Alligator mississippiensis: one gene and its partner. The protein of the gene in region 2 binds, or shares a complex with, the protein of the main gene of each other region. Links are inferred from orthologs where the notes say so. Each region holds a gene or a part of one and is shown on either strand. Other genes may lie near its edges.

Evidence for each region.
Region 1: the proteins of GIPR (region 2) and pro-glucagon are in contact, whole or in part, in a cryo-EM structure (PDB 7RA3), measured with the Homo sapiens proteins. The link is inferred for Alligator mississippiensis from reciprocal best matches to the Homo sapiens genes GIPR and GIP. Residues at the interface, in NP_000155.1 of Homo sapiens: Gln30, Thr31, Ala32, Leu35, Tyr36, Trp39, Tyr68, Trp71, Leu88, Trp90, Arg101, Arg113, His115, Asn120, Gln130, Arg131, Leu134, Glu135, Leu137, Gln138, Tyr141, Tyr145, Arg183, Ile187, Arg190, Asp191, Pro197, Gly198, Pro199, Tyr200; in NP_004114.1 of Homo sapiens: Tyr52, Ala53, Glu54, Gly55, Thr56, Phe57, Ile58, Ser59, Asp60, Tyr61, Ser62, Ile63, Ala64, Met65, Asp66, Lys67, Ile68, His69, Gln70, Gln71, Phe73, Val74, Trp76, Leu77, Leu78, Lys81.

What each region holds. Positions count from the first base shown.
Region 1 is NC_081827.1:168,495,337-168,505,383, reverse strand, and holds the start of pro-glucagon, read left to right. Parts: upstream 1-5,899; 5' UTR 5,900-5,988; intron 5,989-9,901; 5' UTR 9,902-9,919; coding exon 9,920-9,993; intron 9,994-10,047. UniProt on the Homo sapiens protein: Potent stimulator of insulin secretion and relatively poor inhibitor of gastric acid secretion.
Region 2 is NC_081838.1:391,474-402,047, forward strand, and holds GIPR (gastric inhibitory polypeptide receptor), read left to right. Parts: upstream 1-5,969; 5' UTR 5,970-6,054; intron 6,055-6,141; 5' UTR 6,142-6,199; coding exon 6,200-6,247; intron 6,248-6,319; coding exon 6,320-6,419; intron 6,420-7,079; coding exon 7,080-7,187; intron 7,188-7,318; coding exon 7,319-7,440; intron 7,441-7,614; coding exon 7,615-7,718; intron 7,719-8,039; coding exon 8,040-8,193; intron 8,194-8,290; coding exon 8,291-8,589; intron 8,590-8,701; coding exon 8,702-8,771; intron 8,772-8,970; coding exon 8,971-9,059; intron 9,060-9,143; coding exon 9,144-9,279; intron 9,280-9,402; coding exon 9,403-9,444; intron 9,445-9,520; coding exon 9,521-9,739; coding exon of another isoform or gene 9,740-9,852; 3' UTR 9,853-9,870; downstream 9,871-10,574. UniProt on the Homo sapiens protein: This is a receptor for GIP. The activity of this receptor is mediated by G proteins which activate adenylyl cyclase.

The sequences.
Region 1 (10,047 bases), on a different chromosome or scaffold from region 2:
CAGTAGCAGGATTCTGCATGGTGCAGTATGGAATTGCCAGGCATGTTGCAAAACCTGATATGGCAAGTCACGATATGGAATTATAAGTGCAAACAAGGTATTTGAAGAAGAAATGTAAGACAAAATACACACCCATTGGCTTGCTGGGGTGGGTTTTAACCCACTAATTTATACTGATACTTTATTATAATATATCTATAGTAGGGCTCACCTAGGTTCAGTATTAGAAAATTAAAGACTAGAATAGCAGGGATTAGCAAGAGTGGGTATATTCCAGTATGTTGTACCACTATTCATCTGAAGCTACCAGCTTGTATTGCAAAGTCGCTCTCTTTTAAAAACAGAGTAGAGCCTGGCTTACAGTAGACACTTCTTCCAGCAAAGTTATGTCATGTAGGAGTGTGATTCCTTCATGATGTCGTTATACTAACAAAAGGTCCGAGTGGACTTGAAGTGATAGCACTTAAAAAAAAAAAAAAAAAAAAAGGAGGGAGAGAAGCGCTCTTGCAGCTAAGCCGCATTTACACTAGTGTTGTGAAGCGGCTTTACTGGTAAAGAAACACTAGGGTATTGTACTAGCCAAGTGTCTCTAGCTTGGAGGCTACTATGCCAAAAAAGCTGCTGTCTGTACCCAGAGAATAAAACCATTCCTATGAACAAACCAAGCTATCCCATGCTTCTGTGTCTTGCTGATTGCCACATGGGGCCAGGAAAAATATTTTTTCCTCTCCTGCTTTTACGTGTCAGGGTTTTTTGTTTGTTTTTTTCTGCCTTTCTCAGAAGCACTGGGTATTGGTTGCAGCCAGGGTTGGGGATTTTAACAGGGGGATAGCAATGCTGCTGCTGAGACTTAAACAGAGGTTCCTGACTAGAAGATCCTGCACCTCTATTCAGGGTCAGACTGATCGCTATATTTGGGGTCAGGAAGGAATTTTATCTTCTGATCATATTGGTATGGACAGTGAAGGTTTTTGCCTTTCTTTGTAGCAGGGGCATGACCCTCTTCCTTGTGTCTCTCAAGAGTACTTTAGCAACCATCCCAGCAGCAGGACATTGGCCACCATTGTTCCCTTTCTTTACCTATGACAGTTTAAGGTATTTTGTTTTGTGGCTGTTAGGGTTTGACTGTAGTTTTGCTACTAGATTAGACAATGGATTTGTATGGGATAGATTGGATAGGTAGGGGATTGCACTACATCAGGGGTGGACAATTAATTTGGCCAGAGGGCCACTTAGGGAATTTGGGTGAGCTGTCACGGGCTAAGTCAGGACCCCCTCCCCTGGCAACAGCTCACCAAAACTCCTTAAGTGTCCCTCCAGCCACTTAAGGAAAGGTTAGGGGAATCTAACCTTTGTTCCCCCTTTCTCCTTGCAGCCCCACCCCGAGTCCCCAGCACACAGTCAGGCCAGTGCTGCAGTGTGTTCCCATGTACCACCTTGGACCACACAGGTACAACTGGCATGGCTCCTGCCCAATCTGGCTGTGTGCCAAGGATTCAGGGTAGGGGAAAGAGGACAGGGAGAAGGGAGGAAACAGAGAGCAGCACTGGCCCAGCTGGGCCCAGATTACCCATGGCTCCCAGCCCCTTTCTCTATGCACCCTGTCCCAAGTCTCCAGCAGGCAGCCGGGTCGGGCAGGAGCTGTGCCAGCTACACCCATGTGGTCCAAGGTGGTGCGTGGGAATACTGTGCAGCACTGGCCTGGCCCAGCCATGTGCCGGGGACTTGGGGGGCAGGAGGGGAGGAGAGAGGGGGTGCAGGAAGAAGGGAGCTGTAGGTTATCCAGACCTGGCCAAGCCAGTGCTGCACTGTTCCCCCCTTCTTCCTGCACCCCTTCCCCGAGTCCCTGGCATGCAGCCAGGTTGGTGACATACTGTGTTCCTGTGTGCCACTTTAGGCCATGTGAGTGCAACTGGCACAGCTCCTGCCCAACCCAGCTGCATGTCAGAGACTCAGGGTCGAGTAGAGGCTGTGCCAGCCACTCCAGCTGTGTCCACATGGTGCAGCCTGAAGTGGTGCATGGGAACACAGCGTGGCACCAGTGCCCATGCCCCTACCAGGTCCCAGCCTGGCAGAACCCAGATAATCCATGGCTTCTGGCCCTTTTCCCCCTGTACTCCCTCTCCTACCAGCAGGGAGAATCTTACCTGAGCTTTAACTTGCTGGGCGTAGGGTCCAAGCAGTGAGCAGACATCCCCACCGGGCAGAAACCTGGCCAGGAGCTCAGCACCCCTTGCCTTGGAGCTTACACTGGGGCTTGGGGGGCAGGACAGGCAGCTGGGGAGGGGAGGGGAGGGGAGGGGAGTGGTTGTTGTTGTTGCTGCTGCTGCTGGCTGACATGGGGAAGGGAGAAGGGTGAGAGGCACATAAAGCCAGGGCAGCTATGTGTGAACTACAATTCTCCTTCAGAGGAGCAGCTGTGGGCTGTGTAAAATCAGCCCACGGGCCATATTTTGCCCACCCATGGATTAAATGACCTCTAGAGGTTCCTTCCAGCCCTACTTTTCTATGATTCTATCACTGGTAATTGGGCAGTTTCACCAGTGTAATTGCTTCCGCTAACACAGCTGTGCTGATCCAGGATCACACAACTTTGCACCCTTCCCTGACAGAGCCCTGTCAGTATGTATTAGCAATGTAGACACAGCCTAGCAGGATGTGCTGCTATAGCCACAACAACAATCCCTTTCAAGTCGAGGCAGGGCCTGACTTTCTCTTATGGCAGCCAAGACAATCTCAAGAAAATGTGACCAGTGTGGTATTTTAAAATAAAAATATGTATTTCCATACCTGGGACTTCTGTCATCCAGGGAGATGATATAACTGCCTATAGCTACAACAAGGATCTCTAGTATTTTAACTGGCACAGTAAAAGCAGCAACAGTCTCATCACATAGGCAACCTACTTTGCAGAGGCCCCAAACAATCATCCAACTGCTTAGTAACAAACATTTAAATGTCAAGACAGGTACCTATTTCCTCCCTTAGGTCTGATCTACACAGCCTTTCATACAGTAATGATGTTGATGAGGGGTGTGAGTTTATATTGGTGCAGTTAAACTGGTACAGCCCCTAGTATGAACACAGACTAATGTAAATAATATCGCTTATCCCAGTATAGCTTACTCCTTTCCTGCACAGTGTAACTGCATCCACATAAGAGCTTGTAGGTAACCTAGAGGCTGCTTTAAGTTACGGAGCTCTTGTATAACTTGTCCTACTGGCCAAGAATATCTGCAGCACAAAACACTCCAGCTACACCTCTGTCTCTCCCTGAGGCCAGAGAGGCTCTTCTCAATATACAGGGCAGCACAGGGAGGCAGATTAGGGCATCCTGTGGCATCTCTGTGCTGGGTGAGGAACTTTTTAATGCTAGTGTAAAGGAGAGAGAGAACCAGACAACCTGAAATAATTCTTTCTGAGGGAAAAAAACATTTCTGATACAGCTCTGTCTTCCCAGAGCTAAAACTTGCCCAGGCTCTCCCTGTCTCATATTTGGATTGCAACAATATCCTTTTCTCTGGTCATTTTGAATGCAGTCCTGCACTGCTTGGATCCATTTAGAACATGGCTGTGGGGAACATTCTCTGAGCCTGTGCCTTTGACCAGGTCACCCCTCTCGTTGTGCCCTGTCGCTGGCTCTCCCCTGTCTATCACATCAAACACAAGCCATGTATCCTTACTTCCGTGGCCCTTCACAGCCTACCCTTACTCTTCCCCATTCAATGCTGAGAGGGTAAGTTCTGGCTCTATTAGATCCGTGACACAAGCCTCCATCCTTGTCAAATTTTCAACCACCTGCCTTCATGCTTTCTTCCACATTGCCCCTTTTGCTTCCCATAAACAGCTGCACAGTCACTCCATTGTTTTCTTTCATATCCCTCCTTAAAACTCTGCTGTGATGCAATACAAAAAAAATGTGACTCTGTCTAGGCTGCCAGTGTGTGGGTGGTGCCTACCTGTCATTTTGATAGGGATCATCTCTTTAAACTTTTCTGTCTCCTGCCTTAGATTGTAAGCTCTTTGGGACAGGGACTAGTTTTTTACCCAGAGTTTGCACAGCATTTTGTAAGGGGGATTCTGAGACTCCTTCCAGATATTACATTTGTTGCAAGTTAAGAAAGAGTGTCCTGCAACTTTTTGGTAACATGCCACATATTCAGACAAGTTATCCTGCAATAAAAATGGCAAATCAGCAACAAAGATGTTCCACATTCAATGAGTATTTTTAATGCACAGTTTTATGTGGAACATCTTTGTTTGTGGTTTGTATCTCAGTTTAATTTGAATGCAAGACATGTTAAAGTTCTGCAATGCAGCCTGATGCTGGGTGCATGGTGGAGTTTAATCTTGTTGGTACAGGGGAAGGCCAAGATAGTTCCCCCTGCTCAGAGATATTTAAAACTATGCTGTGCAGACTAATGTTGGGCTGTACTGTGGAGCATGAATGCTGTGTGCCCCCAGAGGCTGGGGGGGAATAGTGACTGCCCACAGGCAGCGGTGGCAGTGTCAGTAGCGGGGGCGTGTTGGCAGTGAGTGGGGAGCTCTCATAAGCAGCCATGGTGGTGTTGGCAGTGGGGTGGTAGGGGGAAGGGGGCAGTGGTGAGCACTGACCATGGTCAGTGACCACCTGCAGATGCCATTGGCAGCAGTGGCAGCCAGTGGCAACCAGGGACCGCCCACAGATGCTACCGGTGCTGTTGTTGGTGGGGGGGAGGTGGTGAGTGGCGACCTTCTGCAGGCGCCACTGGCAGCATCAGCAGCACTTTTTGCAGGGGGTGCACTGCCAAGTTCAGGAAGTGCACATGCAACCCCTACATGTCGCCAATGATGTGGAGCTTTAAAGGTCCCCATGCAGGGGAGTCGATTGGTTCTTCATACACAGGGGCATCCTCGATTCCCCAGCTGTCCACAGCCTGGTGTGCATAAAGCTGTCAGCATGCATGCTGGTGCCTTCCTAGCTCCACCCTTCCTAGATACCTGTGGTGCCAAGCTGTCATGGGCATTCATGATGCCAGCTGCATGCAAGTTGTGGATCAATGAGCTCCCCAATCCACAGCCTACTTGCCACAGGTTGTACATGTGCCATTTCAAGATGCAAGGTGTAGGCAGCTCTGTGTCAATGAGCTCCCAAATTCACAGCCACCCATGCTGCAGACCTTCAAACGGCTATAGCTTCTGGGACTTGGGGAACTTCCCAATCCACAGCTATCTGTACCTTGGCACATGTGCAGGCAGCTGCAAATGTACTGTGGATTAAGGATCTCCCATTAAAGGCACCACAAACTTTTACCAGCTCACATGCAATGGCCTGCACCTGTTGGGCACGGGCAACTGGGTATCCAGGAGGTCTCCAATCCCCAGCTCCCTCTACTCGGGTGTAAGGGTGCAGCCAGCTGCATGCTCTGACAGACATGTGATTACAGAGTCAAACAATCATTCATTCTGCCATGGATATGATATTTTTGGGGAGTTAAAATTTTTCAGATCCTAATTATGGTATTTAATTAACATTTGGAGGGGGCCGTAGGCACTCACAATTGGCTTTAGTGAAATGACTCCTACTTTACCCCAGTGGAAAAGAGAGGAGAATCAGACTCACTCTCTGTAGAATCATCACCAGCTACCATTTGCATTTGCCTCAGTTTCTCAGTCCTGGCAGGTGAAAGGTGGTACCATGCAGAATTTAAGATCACATAGTTTATGCCATGCATATTATAGCCCTAATGTGAGTTAATTCTTAACATTGTGATATTACAGTGCTTAATTGCCATTAATGTAAACACCCGTTAAAAGGTTATTTTCCTGCTCAGTAGGTCAGTGGACCTAATGGAGCTGATCTAAGTGGCTTTGATTTACTCTGATTAGGTGACTAATTTCCTGCTTATTTCATGGAAATAGGGTTGGTCCATTGCACCTGTGGAATATAAAGAGTCTGAAGAGCCTTGATTTGACACCAGGATCTACGGAAATCAGAGGGTCAGCAAGGTAAGAAGTACAATTCCAATCTCCCTCTTTCTCGCTTGTTCTCTTTTTTTCTTTGAAATGCTTCCCTAAATTAATAGTGTGGAGGCAGGGAAGGTAGTGTGAGTACTGCAGGTGGAAGGAGTTGTAAAAAGGAGGTTGTACCCATGGTTAACTCTTGATATGGGTGAAGAGGTATGAGCACGTTGCTTGTCACAGCAGAAGCAATGCTAAAATTGCTCTGACTGAACTAGAAAAATTCAGTTAGGTCCTTACAATTCTGAAAAGGGAACATACCATTGATTCAGGCTAGGAGCTGTCACTCAAGAAATCTGGGGTTGGATTCTACACCTTCAAGCAGTTCAGCACAGAAGAGACAGTCAAAGGGACTGGTGGGGAAGGAGGGGACGGTGAAGCCTGGGAGACTATCATCTTGTGTGTCCTCCCAGTTTTTAACTGTTTAGGGGGCCAAAACATGCTCATGTGTAATGAGGCAGCCTGGGAGGAGGGGTGTGTAAATTATGAGTCTCCCCAGTGCTGCCTATAGTTTGTGGTAACAGCTAGAATGCATCATGGCCTTACCTCTTCCAATGATAAGTTTCTTCCCTTAGTGTACCTCCAGAAGGCTTGCAACTGAGGGCAATTATGGAGGGCCAGTGTTGTGGGGGAATTCTCTGTCATTCCTTTATATGCTATTTATGGCTTCTGTATGTCACCAGAGCAGTCCTATGTGACTTTGGCCATGGCATTTAAGGGCTATATTATACCTTATGCTATGAGCCACACAAATATTGATCAATTTAGTGCTAGCTTGGAGTTTGAAGCAGTCACACCTTTGGTCTAGAAACCTTCTCTGATTGTCCCCCACCTGCACAGCTGTGACTTGCCACTGGAGGCCTGGTGACCAGGGGCAGGAGTAGGAGCTGTAGGAGTTCTGGGGATGGAAAGTTTGTCCACAAAACAGGAGGGTGGGGGACAGACCACTGCATCCTGAGATACTGGAGAACTTCAACTTGAATGGCACATCAGTGTGGAGTAGCCACATGTTAATGGAACAGGAGCTGGGTTGTGCAGATCAGAGCTAATCTTGCCCTGGAGTGGCATAACTTTGAGCTGCATAACAAGTGGTTTAAGCCACTTTAAGGTGTCAATGTGCATATAAGGGCTAAGAACTCAGAAGCTGCCCAAAATGACGATGTAACAGGTCCAAATTGCTCTACCAGAGAGAGTTGAGAAGGAAGGTGTTCACTAAGTCACACAGGTCAATGGGTCTGGTCTAAATGGCACATAGTCCACTGGTCCTCCTTGGAGGGCCACCACCTACCCATATGGGAAGGCTTAGCTATAGGAATACAGCTGGGAAGATAGTCTGGCAAATGGTATGCTGGATGGGGATGGTGGAGTCCTGTTCATGCCCTGTGCAATGTATGGTAGCATTGGAAGCTTTCAGATTCAGAGCCTGAGATCCTCCAGTGACTTAAGACCCAAGATGGAAAGGACCAATCTTGCCATATTGTTAAAATAATTATGTTAACATCAATGCTTATTTTCATAATGCCTCTTAAGCTTAGAACTTTTTCTCCTTTTTTGAGTAAATTCAGCATCATCTAAGAATACTTTAACATGTTCCCCCCCCCCATCAATTCTAAAATTCTATTTCTATTTTCTCTAGACAAAAGATTCCTTTCAGGTACACAAATTTTCTTCCACCAATTTAACTATTTTCAAATCCATTATCATCCCAATATGTGCAATCAAATTGTATGAAAGAGGGAATAGTCACTGTTACTTAAACTCTCTCTTTTTTTCTCTCTCTCTCTAATTCAAAAAGCTTTAAGAGTTTACTGCCATTTGCTTCTGTAGCTAGCACATCCTTATGTGCCTTACTGTTTTGGATGCAAACTTTTTAGGGTGGTTGTCCATCTTCAGTGAGCACAACACCTTTGATTTAAACGCTGCTAAGTTGATGGTGATAAATGCAGAGGTCTTACATCAAATGTATTTCTTACTAAAAGGACTGCAAGAAATATTTTTAAATGTCCTGATTTCCTAGAAGTGAACACTGTGTGAATTACAAAAACATCTAAAAAGCATCTTTGATTTCCACAATTTTTGTAAACCACAGTGAAGCCTCTAGTCTTGTGAAAATATAAGAATAGTAAGTCATTATACTTATGGAGTAAAGATATGCCCATGCATAAATGATTGCAGGACTGAGCAACTAAATCCTGACATACCTGTTCCATCCTGATATTTATTTTGTCTTTCTTACTACTGTGGCTGTTAATATTAAAACTCAACATTGCAAATATTCTAAAAATATTTAAAAAGAGAGTGAAATATTGGACAACCAAATCTATTTTGGAATGTGTTTGGTTGTCTGTATAGTGAATAAGCAAGAATGTTCTTGAAAAGTGTTTGCAGAGCTGAGTGAGTCATTCAAAGGGGTCCAGTGTGCGAGGGGTAGTGAATTCGAATAGGGACAAGGTCACATGACCTAAAAAGCAATCTAAGGTGAAAACATCTTGGGGAAGGATCCAGAGCTGGATACCATTAATGGAATAATCTGCTGGAGGCTCAGTAATGAAGTTTCTCCACTAACTTCAGTGAAGTTTGGCTCATGTCCTTATTTAAGGTCTGATCACACTCAATAAAAACATTCCATTGACTTAAACAGAAATCAGGTCAGGTTCTTAATCCCTACAGAAGTGTTATGTGGATATCGAGATACAGGACCAGTCCAACCATTAGGCGAATTAGGTGGTCACCTAGGGTGCCAAAATTTGGAGGGTGCCAAATTTATATGCAGAACAAAATAACAGGAGCATCATTTTAAATAACAGACCTGGCTGGTTACGGCTGCACCTTGGACTAAGACCTTTGGTTTAGTAAGGGGAGAAGGACTTCTGAAAAGATCTCTGAAGAAAGATCACTAGAATCATCCACCATCACAACTACAGCTCCCGGTGACCTTCATACAGCTACATCAAGGGATTGGACATGGCTTTAAGTGCACCTCACAGCTCTCTCATATTCCCCTCATGACTCCTACCTTTTCAGTGCTCAAGTGGTCTTATGACAAGAGCATACTGCTGGCAACATCATCCTAAAAGACATATTGGAAGTGGTGGGGAAGCTGAGGTACACAGTTTGCCTAAGGTACCAATTACCCTTGGGCTGGCCTGGTCAAGATACCATTATAAGTGCCTGATCTGGAGTTATTGAAGGCAACAGAAATACTCCCACTGTTTCACTGAGACATGGATCAGTCCCTAAAGTGTTGAAGGTGTACAGACAGGGATGGATTAAGATTCGTTGGAGCCCTGGGCCCCCCAACCCTCACCCTGCCCCTCCAGCTGAACTGGGGTGAGGAGCTGCTCCCCGCCAGGCACATGTAGCACAGACTGAGCTCCAGGGGTGGCCCCTCGCACTTCAGTAGCTCAGTCTGGCTGAAGTGGCACCCAGCAAACAGCACCTGGTAGCCATGGCCTGCCGCCCTTTGTGGTCACTGGTTTCATCTGCACCAAGCATGGGACCCTGGGCCTGGGCCTGTTTGGCTCATGCATTAATCTGCCTATGTGTACAGAACCCTTTTGCTAATCTGCAGAAAGTCTGTGCCTCCAGGGATTTGCACTCTCCAGTGAGTAAGATGGTCATCTTGTGAGTGAAAGAAGTACAAAATGTATTACTGTCAGCCCTAGGGAGGGAATCAGCATTACAAGCAAAAATCCTGGAAGCAAAGGTGGTAGGGATCACACCATACCTCAAAAGGGGAAAAGCCATTCTAAGCAGGGACATGGCTACTTGTGTGACAGTCACATAAGTACATGTGTACAAGCCCACTTCACCTTTTGGCCCACTATTCCTGTTATGCTACTTCCTTCCTGCTGTGCATGAAAAGAATTAGCCTTCTGTGTTGCTTTCTGTCTTTGATTAGAGAAAACAAGTCAGGAAAATGCTGGCCTTGAAAGTTCTCCCCCTCCTCCTTGCCTCTCTGAGCCTTGTTCTGACAGCGGAGAACCGCACCAGGTAAGTGTTTTCAGTACACTGTTCCAGCTCCTCCCTGAGATCAAGGAGAGTTTC
Region 2 (10,574 bases):
CGAGCACGCAGCGACCCCCTCCAGGACCCGGGGAACCCCCCAGGACCCAGGGATCCTCCCAGCCCCCTGACACCCCTCTGCATCCAAGGACCCCCCCAGCAGCCAGCAGCCCCGAGCATGTTGGAACCCCCAAGCACCCAGGGACACCCCAGCACCCGGGGACTCTCCCCCCCCCCGACTGAGAGATGCTCTCAGACCCCGGGCACCCCCCTGCATCCAAGGACCCCCCCCCCAGCAGCCAACACCACCCAATATGTGCCCCCCAGCACCCAGGGACCCCTCCAAGGGCCAGGGGACCCAACTCGGCACCTCGGGGACCCCCCGGGGGGGCGGGATGGATCTCCTGCGGGTTCTGGGGGGTCCTTGGATGCTGCTGGGTGCCCGAGGCGCTTGGGGGAGGGGTCCTCTGGGGCTGGGGGGCGGGATTTCTGGGTCCTGGAGGGGATCTCGAGGCTGCCCCCCCCAACCCCCCAAAGCAGCCAGGCACCTACAGGCCAAGGTGCCTGGCTGCACTCAGGGAGGGGACCCAGGAGTCCGGCTGCCCCCCCCCCAACTCCAGCTTCCGTAGCCCTGGGGCTCAGTTGCACCCCCCCCCCCGGGCCCTGTGAGGGCAGAGCCCCCCCCGCGGCCCAGCTGCGGGGGCGGGGAAGGGAACCCAGGAGTCCCGGCACCCACGTGAGGGACCCGGGGGCTCTGAAGGCTGGGTCCGTCCGCCCCCCCGTGTGACCGTCCCCAGCACCAGCTCTGACCCGCCAGGAGGGGTCTGTGCCGGGGGGTCTCCGGAGACCTCTGCCTTGTGAAACCCAGGTGTCCTGGCCCCGCCCGGGCGGCTCCCACCGCACCGAGCGAGCCCCAGCAGGTGGAGCGGGGTTTGTATTTAAATGAGCTCCAGTGTGTAGATTACCCCGGGGATGATTTACATGCGGGGGGGGCAGCGCTGCGGGGCCCGATCCTGCCCTGGAGGGATGAAGGACCCGATCCGGGCTGGCTCTGCCCTTGAGGCCCTCCCCTCCGTCCACAGGGGGTCTGGAGAGGATGATGCAGCAGGAAGGGGGGCTGGGCAGCCCCGGGACCCCCCGGCTGGAAATAGGTGGGAGAGGGAAGAGTCTGCCTTGACCTACCTCCTGCCGGCCCCGCCCTTCCCGGACACACCCCATCTGGCCCCGCCCCGCCACACCCCAGCTGGCCCCGCCCCTCCCCAGCAGTCACTCAGCCAATCAGCTGCTGCCATCCCAAACTCCACTCTGACCCCCCACAGTGCCCCCCAGGGGCCACGCCTCCCGAACCCCCCTTTGGTCACACTCTACCACCCCACTGCCCCCAGCCCTCGGGCACTGCACCCCCCCTCCCTCCAGGGCCGGGGGGTTCAATGGGCGGAGGGCTGGCGCTGCCCTGCATCTCCCCGGGCTGTGCCCCCCAGGACCCCCCAAACCCGGTCCCCCCGTGCCCCCCGGGTGGGCACCCACCTGCGGGACCGGTGCGGGTGGGTGCGGGGCCGGTGCCCGCGCGCGGCTCCAGCCTCTGCAGCAGCCGCGTCCGCCCGCTCCTCCCCCCGCGCCGCCTCCTGCCGCAGCCCGGCACCGCGCCAGCCCCGCAGCCGGGCCAGGGGGCGCCCCGCGGCTCCCCCCACCCGGCGGGGCCTGCACGGGGGCCCTCGGGCTGGACTGCGGGGGCAGAGGCGGGCAGGCGCTTGCCTCCAGAGCCCGGTGGGCCCGTGACGTCACTGCCAGTGGAAGGAGCTGGGCTGTGACATCACTGCCAGGGCAGAGGGGTTGTGCTGTGACATCACTGCGGAGGAGAGGGGCTCTGCGGTGACATCATCGCCAGGGCACAGGGGCCATGCTGTGACATCTCTGAGGGGGAGGGGGTCTGCTATGACATCTTTGCTAGCGTAGAAGCATAGTGCTGTGACATCACGGTGGGAGGAGGGGGTATGCTATGACATCACTGCCAGGGTACTGGGGTCGTGCTGTGCCCACTCTAGGGGGAAGAGGGTATGCTATGACATCACTTGCAGGGTAGAGGGGTCACACTCTGACATCACTGCTGCTGGGTTGGGGGGGGATAAACTGTGACGTCACTGAGACGGAGGGGCTGCGCTGTGACCACGGACAGCCGCGGGGAAAAGAGCTGCGCCCCACTCGCTCCTCCCGTCTTCTGCTCCTCCCTCTCCAGCCTGACTCCTCCCCTAAGGGGCGGGGCTTCCTGCCCCTCAGTGGCTGGGGGGCAGTTACCGCGGGACAGCTCCTCGTGTGTCCGTTCCGTGACCCCTCCCCCTAGCGCTCGGTCTTCCCCCAGCTGGGGCAGCCCCAATGCGGGGGGGGGGCGCTCCTCCCGCGCACCGAGCTCCGGGCCCGGGTCAGGTCCGAGATCCCCTGGGCCGCCCTCCCCAGAGCCGGCTGCATCTCGGAGCCCGTGGCAGCCCCCAGGGCCCGGGCGGGGGTGGGAGCGGGGCTTCCCCCGCCGGCATCCTGCCAGGCCCGGCGGCGCCGCTAGCCCCGGACAGATGCCACGGCCGGAGCCGAGGCCGGCTGGCGGGCGCCGGGGCCGAGGGCGGCAGCGGAGCGGGAGTGAGGGGCAGCGGCCAGGCTGGGGGGTCCTTGCCCCCGCTGACTCACCGCCACAGCAGGGCCGGGAGGCGGCGCCGCTCCGGCCCCCGCACCCGGGATCCCCCCGCCCCGCCCGGTCCAGCCGTCCCTGCCTCCTTCTCCATGGCAACCGCGCTCTGCATCACCCGGGCGGCGGCGGGACATGCCCCCCCCCGCGTGCCCCCCAGCCCCGGAGCCACGGGGGCTGACAGGGCAAGGTAAGGTGCGGATTGGAGCAGCGCTGCCGAGGCTCCGCCCACCCGGCCTCCCGGTTACGGGGGAGGAGTCAGGGATTCAGGGGCGGGGCGAAGTGCTCGGGGGCGGGGCCAGGGCCTGGGGCGCAGGGGCGGAGCCGGCTCATACAAGGGGGGCAATGCGGGGGGCAGGATCCCCCCGAGGGTTGGCGGGGGCTGAGGACAGACCAGCTCAGTGCATGGGGGCAGGGCGGTCCCATGCCCCCTCCAGGCCCCGGGATTGGGGGTGGGTCTGTGCGGGGGGCGAGAAGGCCGCGTGGCCTTGCCCGGGCCCCACGGGTGTGGCCGTGAAAGCGGGCTGGGAGGGGCCGAGGGGCACCCTCTCGGCTGCCACAGATCCTCCGAGGACACCAGCCCACCATGCCCTGCGCGGGGGGAGGTGCCGATGCTTTCTTTGCGCTCCCCTCCCGGCGTCTATGGTTCTCCGAGGAGCGGGGGGGGGGGTTTGCTGTGCGTTTGTGCATGTGTATGCACGTGTGCGTGTGTGAATGTGTAAATGTGTGCACGTGTGTGCGTACCCGGGCCGGCGTCACGTGTGCGTGCGTGTGCCGAGCCTTGTCCGCGCTTCTCGCTCTAAATGTGACTCACCCCCGCCCCCCCATTACCAGGGAGCCCCGGGGCAAGCTGTGCACCCGGGGGGCGAGGGGGGACAGAAGCCCCCACTCCGCTACCCCCCTAGGGTGCCCGCGGGGGAGCGGGAGCTGCCCCTGCCGGTGCCACCGCGGGGGCCGTGCGTTGCGGGTTGGTCCTGGAGCAGCTCCGGCGCTACCACGGGGTGGGGGGGCAGTCCCTGGGAGCCCCAACCCCCAGCCCCCCTCCCCCCGGCTGCGCCCCCCCCCCCGCGGCTGCCATGTGCAGGGCCGCGTGGGCGCGTGTCTCCCCGCTCCGAGCTGCAAATAGACCCGGGAGCCGAGCGGAGCGGAGCGCCGGCGGGTCCCAGTGGGGCTCCTGTTTACTGCGCCGCGGCCCCCGGGGAGCCTGTGACTCACGTAGGAGGGGGAGGGCTACGTGCGGGGTCCATGCCCCGCGGTGCGCCTCAGTCCCGAACCTCAGCCTCTCCCCCCCCACCCTTAGTCCGTCCAGGTCCAAGGGATTTCAACCCGGGGGGGGGGAACCACAGCAAACCGGGGTGGGGACCACAGCCGCGTGCGCATGTTTCTGTGTCCTAGACCCTCTACTGCCCCCTGCCAAGGGGATTCTCCCTCCTGGACAAGGCCTCCAGCAGCTTTCTCCTGGAGCCTACCGCTTATGCAGCTGGCAGGGAGCTGGGAGGTCTCAGCGCCTGGGGGAGCAATGCCACCCCCCACCCAGGGGCTCTTTGTGCGGGTGATGCTGTGTCTTGGGGTCTCCCAGGACCTTGGTGCAGGCGGTTCTCAGCTTCTGGGGCAGCCGGGCCCGGCACATGTTATGTTTATGGCGCTGTTCCCATGGATTCTAGCATGGCCTGCAGTCCGTTAAGCCACAAAATGGTGAACCAGCCACGAGGACGTTCCCTAGTGAATGTGGAGCATCTTTGTGGCTGGTTCACATTGTGCCTTACATCAGACCTGCCCCTCCCACCCTGTGAAACCCCCCGGGAGGGGGCACGTGGAAGCCCTGGGGTCCCAGTTCAGCCCCAGTTGGTGCATGATTGGCACCAGTGATGTGCCAGGCCTGCCCCTGGGCCAAGATTTAGCTGGCCCTGGGGTGCAGCTGTTACCCCTCGCCAGGCTTCCTGGTGGTTTGGGATAAGACCTGGGAGAGGGAGGGGCAGGCTAGCACCTGGCCCCTGTACTGCCCTGCGGATGGGAGCAGACGTGCCTGGCACTGCCCCCCCCACCCTGGCCTTGGCCCAGATTGTCCCCGGGGAGGAGCTGCCCTGCCCAGTTCCTCCTGCCAACGCTGGGGGCAAAGGGAGGGGACATCGATCGCGGCCTGGTGTGGGGCCCACGGCCTCCACCTCCCCCAACCCAGGGTTCCTGCCTCAGTTTTCCCCTGCACCCAGTGCCAGGGCCCTCCCCAGTGTCAGTGCCAGCCCTGCCTCAGTTTTCCCAGGATGCCAGCTCGGCCCTGCAAGCCCCTGAGGGGCAGAGCCAGGCCGGGATCACTGCCCACGAGGCATTGCAGGTGGGGTGACGGGGGTCCTCTCAGCTGCTCTCAGCGCCCCCACTCAGGGCTCTGGGGCGGGGCCAGCCGCCCTAGCCCCGCCCCCAGGGCGGTCCCGCCCGGACCGGCACTTTAAATCGGGGTGTCGGCGGCTGGGACCCAGACGTGCGGGGAGCCGGGCTGAGCTGCCCCACCCCGTCCCGTCCCGTCCCGTCCCGTCGCGTCGGTCCTCCCGGGGGCTCCGTGCGCCGGATCCGGCCGGGGAAGGTACCGGCCCAGGGGTCCCAAGAGAGGCGCCCGGCGCTGGACGCGGGGTCGATGCAGCTGAGTCTGGGGGAGACCCCGGGTGCAAGGGGTGGCTGGGGGCATCACTGGCGCAGGGAGGACCTGGATCCCGCGTGAGGGGGCGGAGGGGGGGGTGTCCTATGGGGGCCCCCAGCCCCTGAGAGGAGCTCAAGCTGAGAGGGTTGCTGCTGGGGGGGCAGCCCACCCCATGCAGACAGCAGGTGAGACCGCCCCCCCCCACCCCGGGGCAGCACGGCACTAGCTGGAACCGGTGGTCACAGGTAAACTGAGGCACGGGGGGGGGGGCTCCGTGACTTTCCCGGGCCCTGGCTGCCCTCCCGGGGGGGGGCGGGGCTTCCCCGTCCCTGGGCCTGTCTGTGGGGACCGAAATGGGGGCGCGCCCCCGCAAGAGCTGCCCGGGGAGGGGGGGCAGCGGGGTGGGAGGGGGTGGAGGGTTACAGACGAGAGGGGGAAGCTGGCATGGGACCCAGGCGTCCGGGCTCCCTGCCCTCTGACCCCCTGCCCCGAGCTGCTGTGGGGGGCTCTGGGCTGCACCCCGCTCCATGGGGGGGGCAGGGTTTGCCCCGGGGGGGGACGGCGGGGGGCTGACACCTGCCGGGCCCCAGGCGCCCCCCCGCACCCGGCCCGGGCGCTGTGGCAACGGGTGACGTCACTGCCGGGCCAGGCCTCGCTCCTTGCTCCCTGGAGGGCTGGGCGGGGGGGGGGGGGGGAACGACGCGTGTGGGGGGGGAATCCCCGTCCTCAGCAGCGATGGGGGGGTAGGGGCGCTTCATTTCCTGTCCCAAAGCAGGTCCTGGCCCCAGTGCCGCGTCCCGCAGCAGGTAAAGCCTCCCCCGGGCCCACGGGGGGTTGGGGGTCCCAGGGCAGGTCCTCCAGACCCCTGACCACCCCCCCCCGACTTCTCCCAGGCTGCCATGGAGGGGGCCCCTGCGCCCCGCCGGCCCCCGCGCCCCTGAGCCCCCCGGCATGTGGCTGGCCGTGGCCTTGGCCTTGCTGTGGGCCGCCCTCATGGAGGTGAGACCCCCCCCCAACCCCGCCGGCCCTGCTCCCTCCACTGCCCCCCCTGACTTGCCCCCCCCACCCCAGGCCGGCGGGGTGGAGCGGTCGGCGGCGGACACGGTGGTGGCGTGGCGAGAGTATCGGCAGGAGTGCGAGCGACGCCTGCGGGACCAGCCCCCGGCCCTGGGTGAGTCCCCGTGGGCAGGAAGAGACCCCTCCCTAACCGTCCCCCCCCATCCCCCAATCCCGCCTTAGCCTTGGCTCGGGTCTGGGCGGCGGAGCCTCGTCTGCACTAGGGGCGGCTCTCCCGGGAGAAGCCGCAGCAGGGGCAGGACGGGGGCTTTGTCCCTGCTACCCCTGGGGAAAGGCCATTGTGCGACACACGTGTGGGTGCAAGGGCCTGTGTGAGCGAGCACCAGGTCATGCACACGTGGGCATGGGGCTGTGGACACACCAGTCTCACTGCATGCCTGGGAGCTCTTTGCAACTACACTTCGCACACACGCGTGTGCCCTGCTCAAGCACTGGCCCCTGCATATGGGGGTGCATGACCCTGTGACATGGGCCAGCGAGTCACTCACACGAGTGCATGCAAGGTGCGTCCGAGGCAAGGCTGCGGGGACCTGTGGCACCCCGGTCCCATCTCACACATGCCGGCTCTTTGCCGTATACGAACACGCTTTGCACACGTGTGTGCGGCCTGCTGGTTCACCCACGCTCCCTGCCTGTGGCAGGTCTAGCCTGCAGGCCCCTCTCTCACACGTGGGCATGCAGGTAGTGCAGCCGCCAAGGCCTGTGCAAGGCTGTCATGGGCCAGCTCACACAAGTGTGCTCCCCTGCCCCGCAGGGCTCGTGTGCAACCGCACGTTTGATATGTACGCCTGCTGGGACGACGCCACGCCCAACACCACGGCCCGGGTGCCCTGCCCCTGGTACCTGCCCTGGCACCACCACGGTAGGGTCGCAAACGCTAGTGCCATGCGGGCCCCTTACATGCTCCCCGGGGTGCCAGGGGCCCCGGCCGGTTCCGTGCCACCCCACGCATGCCGTGGAGCCCAAGACACGCGTGTGCCCTGTTCTCCGCAGTGCGGGACGGATCCGTGCTGCGCCGCTGCGGCCCCGACGGGCGCTGGGTCGCGGAGCCGGGGGGGCCGCCCTGGCACGACAACGCGCAGTGCGAAGCCCCCGCCCCCGAGCTGCCCCTGCAGGTCAGTGCCGGACGCCTCGGTCCGCCCTGGGCGCCGGGAGCTCGGATGCGTAGGTGTCCTCCCGGCGCGGGGCGCGGGGTGCAGGGTCGGGCCCCCTCTATTTCGTGGGGCAGGGCCCCAGGGTGTGGGCGGGGGGTCCCGTTCTGGCCACCCTGACCCCCCTCCGCCCCCCAGCACCAGGCCTGGCTGCTGGAGCGCGGGCGCCTCGTCTACACCGCGGGCTACTCGCTGTCTCTGGCCGCGCTGCTCCTGGCGCTGCTGCCGCTGCTCGCCTGCAGGTGGGGGCCCCGATTCTGTCCCCCCAGGGGCCCCGATCCTGCCCTGGAGACACGGGCGGCGGGATGCTGGGGGCCGGGGTTGATTCGGCCTCTGAGGGCCCCGGACTTGGCTGCGGTGGAGGGGGCTGGGGTCCAAGAGCGGCCCCGATCCTGGCTGGGATGGGGAGGTCGATTCAGCAAATCCTAGGGGCCCAGATCCCGGCTGAGAGGAGGGGCTCGATTCGGGCTGCGGGTTGGGGGGCGGGTCCGAGCGGGCCCCGATCGTGGCTCTCGGAGGGTGGGGTCCGAGCGGGACCCTGATCCCGGCCCCCGGCCCCGCAGGCGGCTCCGCTGCACCCGCAACCGCATCCACGCGCAGCTCTTCGGCTCCTTCGTGCTCCGCGCCGCTGCCGTCCTGGCCCGCGACGAGCTGCTGCGGCGCCTCCTCGCGCGCCCCCCGCGGCCCCCGGGCGCCCCCCCCGCGCTGCCGGGCCAGGTGCAGTCGGGCGGGGGGGGGCCGCGGTGATCTTCCCTTGACAGTGCCCTGGGGGGTCCCGGCTGCCCCCACAGCCCGGTAACCCCCGCCCGCGCAGGCCGTGGCCAGCTGCCGCCTGGCGCAGGTGCTGACCCAGTACGGGGTGGGCGCCAACCACTGCTGGCTGCTGGCCGAGGGGCTGCACCTCCACGCGCTGCTGGCGCTGCGGGGCACCGAGGACGGCCGCCTGCCCGCCTACCTGCTGCTGGGCTGGGGTGAGTGCCCGCGGCGGGCGGCGCGTCTACACCAGGGCCGCCCGCGCCGGCCCAGCCCCGCACTCACCGCCGCCCCCGCAGGGACCCCGGTGCTGTTCGTGGGCCCCTGGGCCGTGGTGCGGTACCTCTACGAGAACACGCAGTGAGTTGGGGGCGGGGGGGGGGACGGGACGAGCCCGGCGGTCGGGGCCGGGTCGTGCCCCCCGTGCCTGGGGCGGGACCTGGGGGGCAGTGACGCCGGGTCTGCGGGGCAGGTGCTGGGAGCGGATCGACAACCGCGCGCACTGGTGGATCGTGCGCTGCCCCCTCCTGCTGGCCGTGCTGGTGAGCCGGGGGAGGATAGGGGGGCGAGGGGAGGTCGGGGAAAGCTCCCCTGCCTGGCGGGGCAAGTTGGGCCGGGTCTGACTGGGCCAATAATGGGGAGGGGGTAACTGGGACCAGCGGGGGGGGACGGGCCTGTCCGGGCGGGGCGGGGCGGGGCGGGGCGGGCCCGGCTGCCCCCCAGCCCCCCCCGCCCCCCCAGGTGAACTTCGTGCTGTTCGTGCGCATCCTGCGGGTGCTCGGGGCCAAGCTGCGGGCGCCGCACGGGCGCTGCCCCGACTACAAGCTGCGGTGGGTCCCGGGCCGGGGGGGCCGGGCCGTGCCGTGCCGTGCCGGGCCGTGCCGCGCCCCGGCTGACCCCCCGCGCCCCCCCAGGCTGGCCCGCTCGACGCTGACGCTGGTGCCGCTGCTCGGCAGCCACGAGCTGCTGTTCGCGCTCCTGCCCGAGGCGCCGCGCGGGGCCCTGCGCTTCGCGCGCCTCTTCCTGCACCTCTTCCTCAGCTCCTTCCAGGTGGGCGGGGCCGCCGGGGCGGGGCCAGCGGCCCGGGTGGGGGCTGGAGCTGGGCGGGCGGGGCCAGTGCCCCAGGTGGGCGGGGCACTCCGGCGCCGTGACCCCGCCCCGCTGTCCCCGCAGGGGCTGCTCGTCAGCGTCCTCTACTGCTTCCTCAACAAGGAGGTGGGTGCGCGGGGGTTAACCCCTCAGCTGCGGGGGGGCCGGGGGCTGCCCCCCGCTCACGGCCCGTCGCCCCCAGGTGCAGGCCGAGCTGCGGCGGCAGTGGCAGCGGTGCCAGCTGGGCCGGAGCCTGCAGCGGGCGCGGGGCCGGGGCCGGGGCTGCAGGCACGGGCCAGGCTGCGGCTGCGGCCGCGGCCCCGGGACCCCGGCCCGGCTGCGGCCCGCGGGGGGCCAGGAGGAGCCGGCGCCCGGCGCCGGGGGCCCGCCCGGGGCCGAGCTCTCCGAGAGCACCTGCTAGCGCTGGCCGGGCCCCTGCTCCCTGCCCCGGGGCGGCTCCGTGCCTCCTCGGCCAGGCCCGCCTGGGGGGCGCCGTGTGGGCCCGGACTCCCCGTCGTTGCTTGCATTCATTAAACCCTCCGTTGAACTCTGCCCGTGTCCGTGTGCTGGCGGCGCAGCGCTGTCTACGCTAGGGCAGCCTGGGCGCATGGGGCTGCCGCGCCTCGGGGGAGGCTGGCACGATGCCCCCCTTCCCCACGGGTCTGCCTCTCCCAGCTCTGGGACCGCAGTGGGGGTACCAGTAGTGGTGGGATGGATCTAGGATCCCCCCCCCCCAACACGATTGTGTCTGGACACCCCCGTTGCTGGGACTGCAACTCCCAGGATGCCCCGCGCTGGCCAGAGGGGGCGTGGCTGAGCTGCGCAGGCGCGGGGGGCCGGGAGGCGGAGCTGCGGTTGCTGCGGGGGGAGGGCGGCAGCGCCTGGCACCTGCCCGGGGTAAGCGCGGGGGGAAGGGTTAAGGGTGCAGGGGCGGGGGGTCCTGGGGCCCTGCCACCCCACTGCTGCCTGTGTAGGGGGGTCACACGGACCCCAGCAGGTGCCCGCGGGGGCTGGCAGGGTCCATGCCCGCGAGGCCAAGTGTTGCCTCGACGAGGGGGGCAGAGCCGGACGCCCGGGTTCCGCCCGCCGCTCCAGGGGCCACAGCTCCGGCTGCTCCGTGCCTCAGTTTCCCCAAGTGCCCCCAGGCCCGTCTCCTTCGGCTGGGGGGGCAGGGAGTGGGGGGCGTGGCTTGGATCCCGGGAAGGGGCGGAGCAGGGCTCGGGGGTCTGCCCCCAGGCCAATGGCAGGGGCTGGAG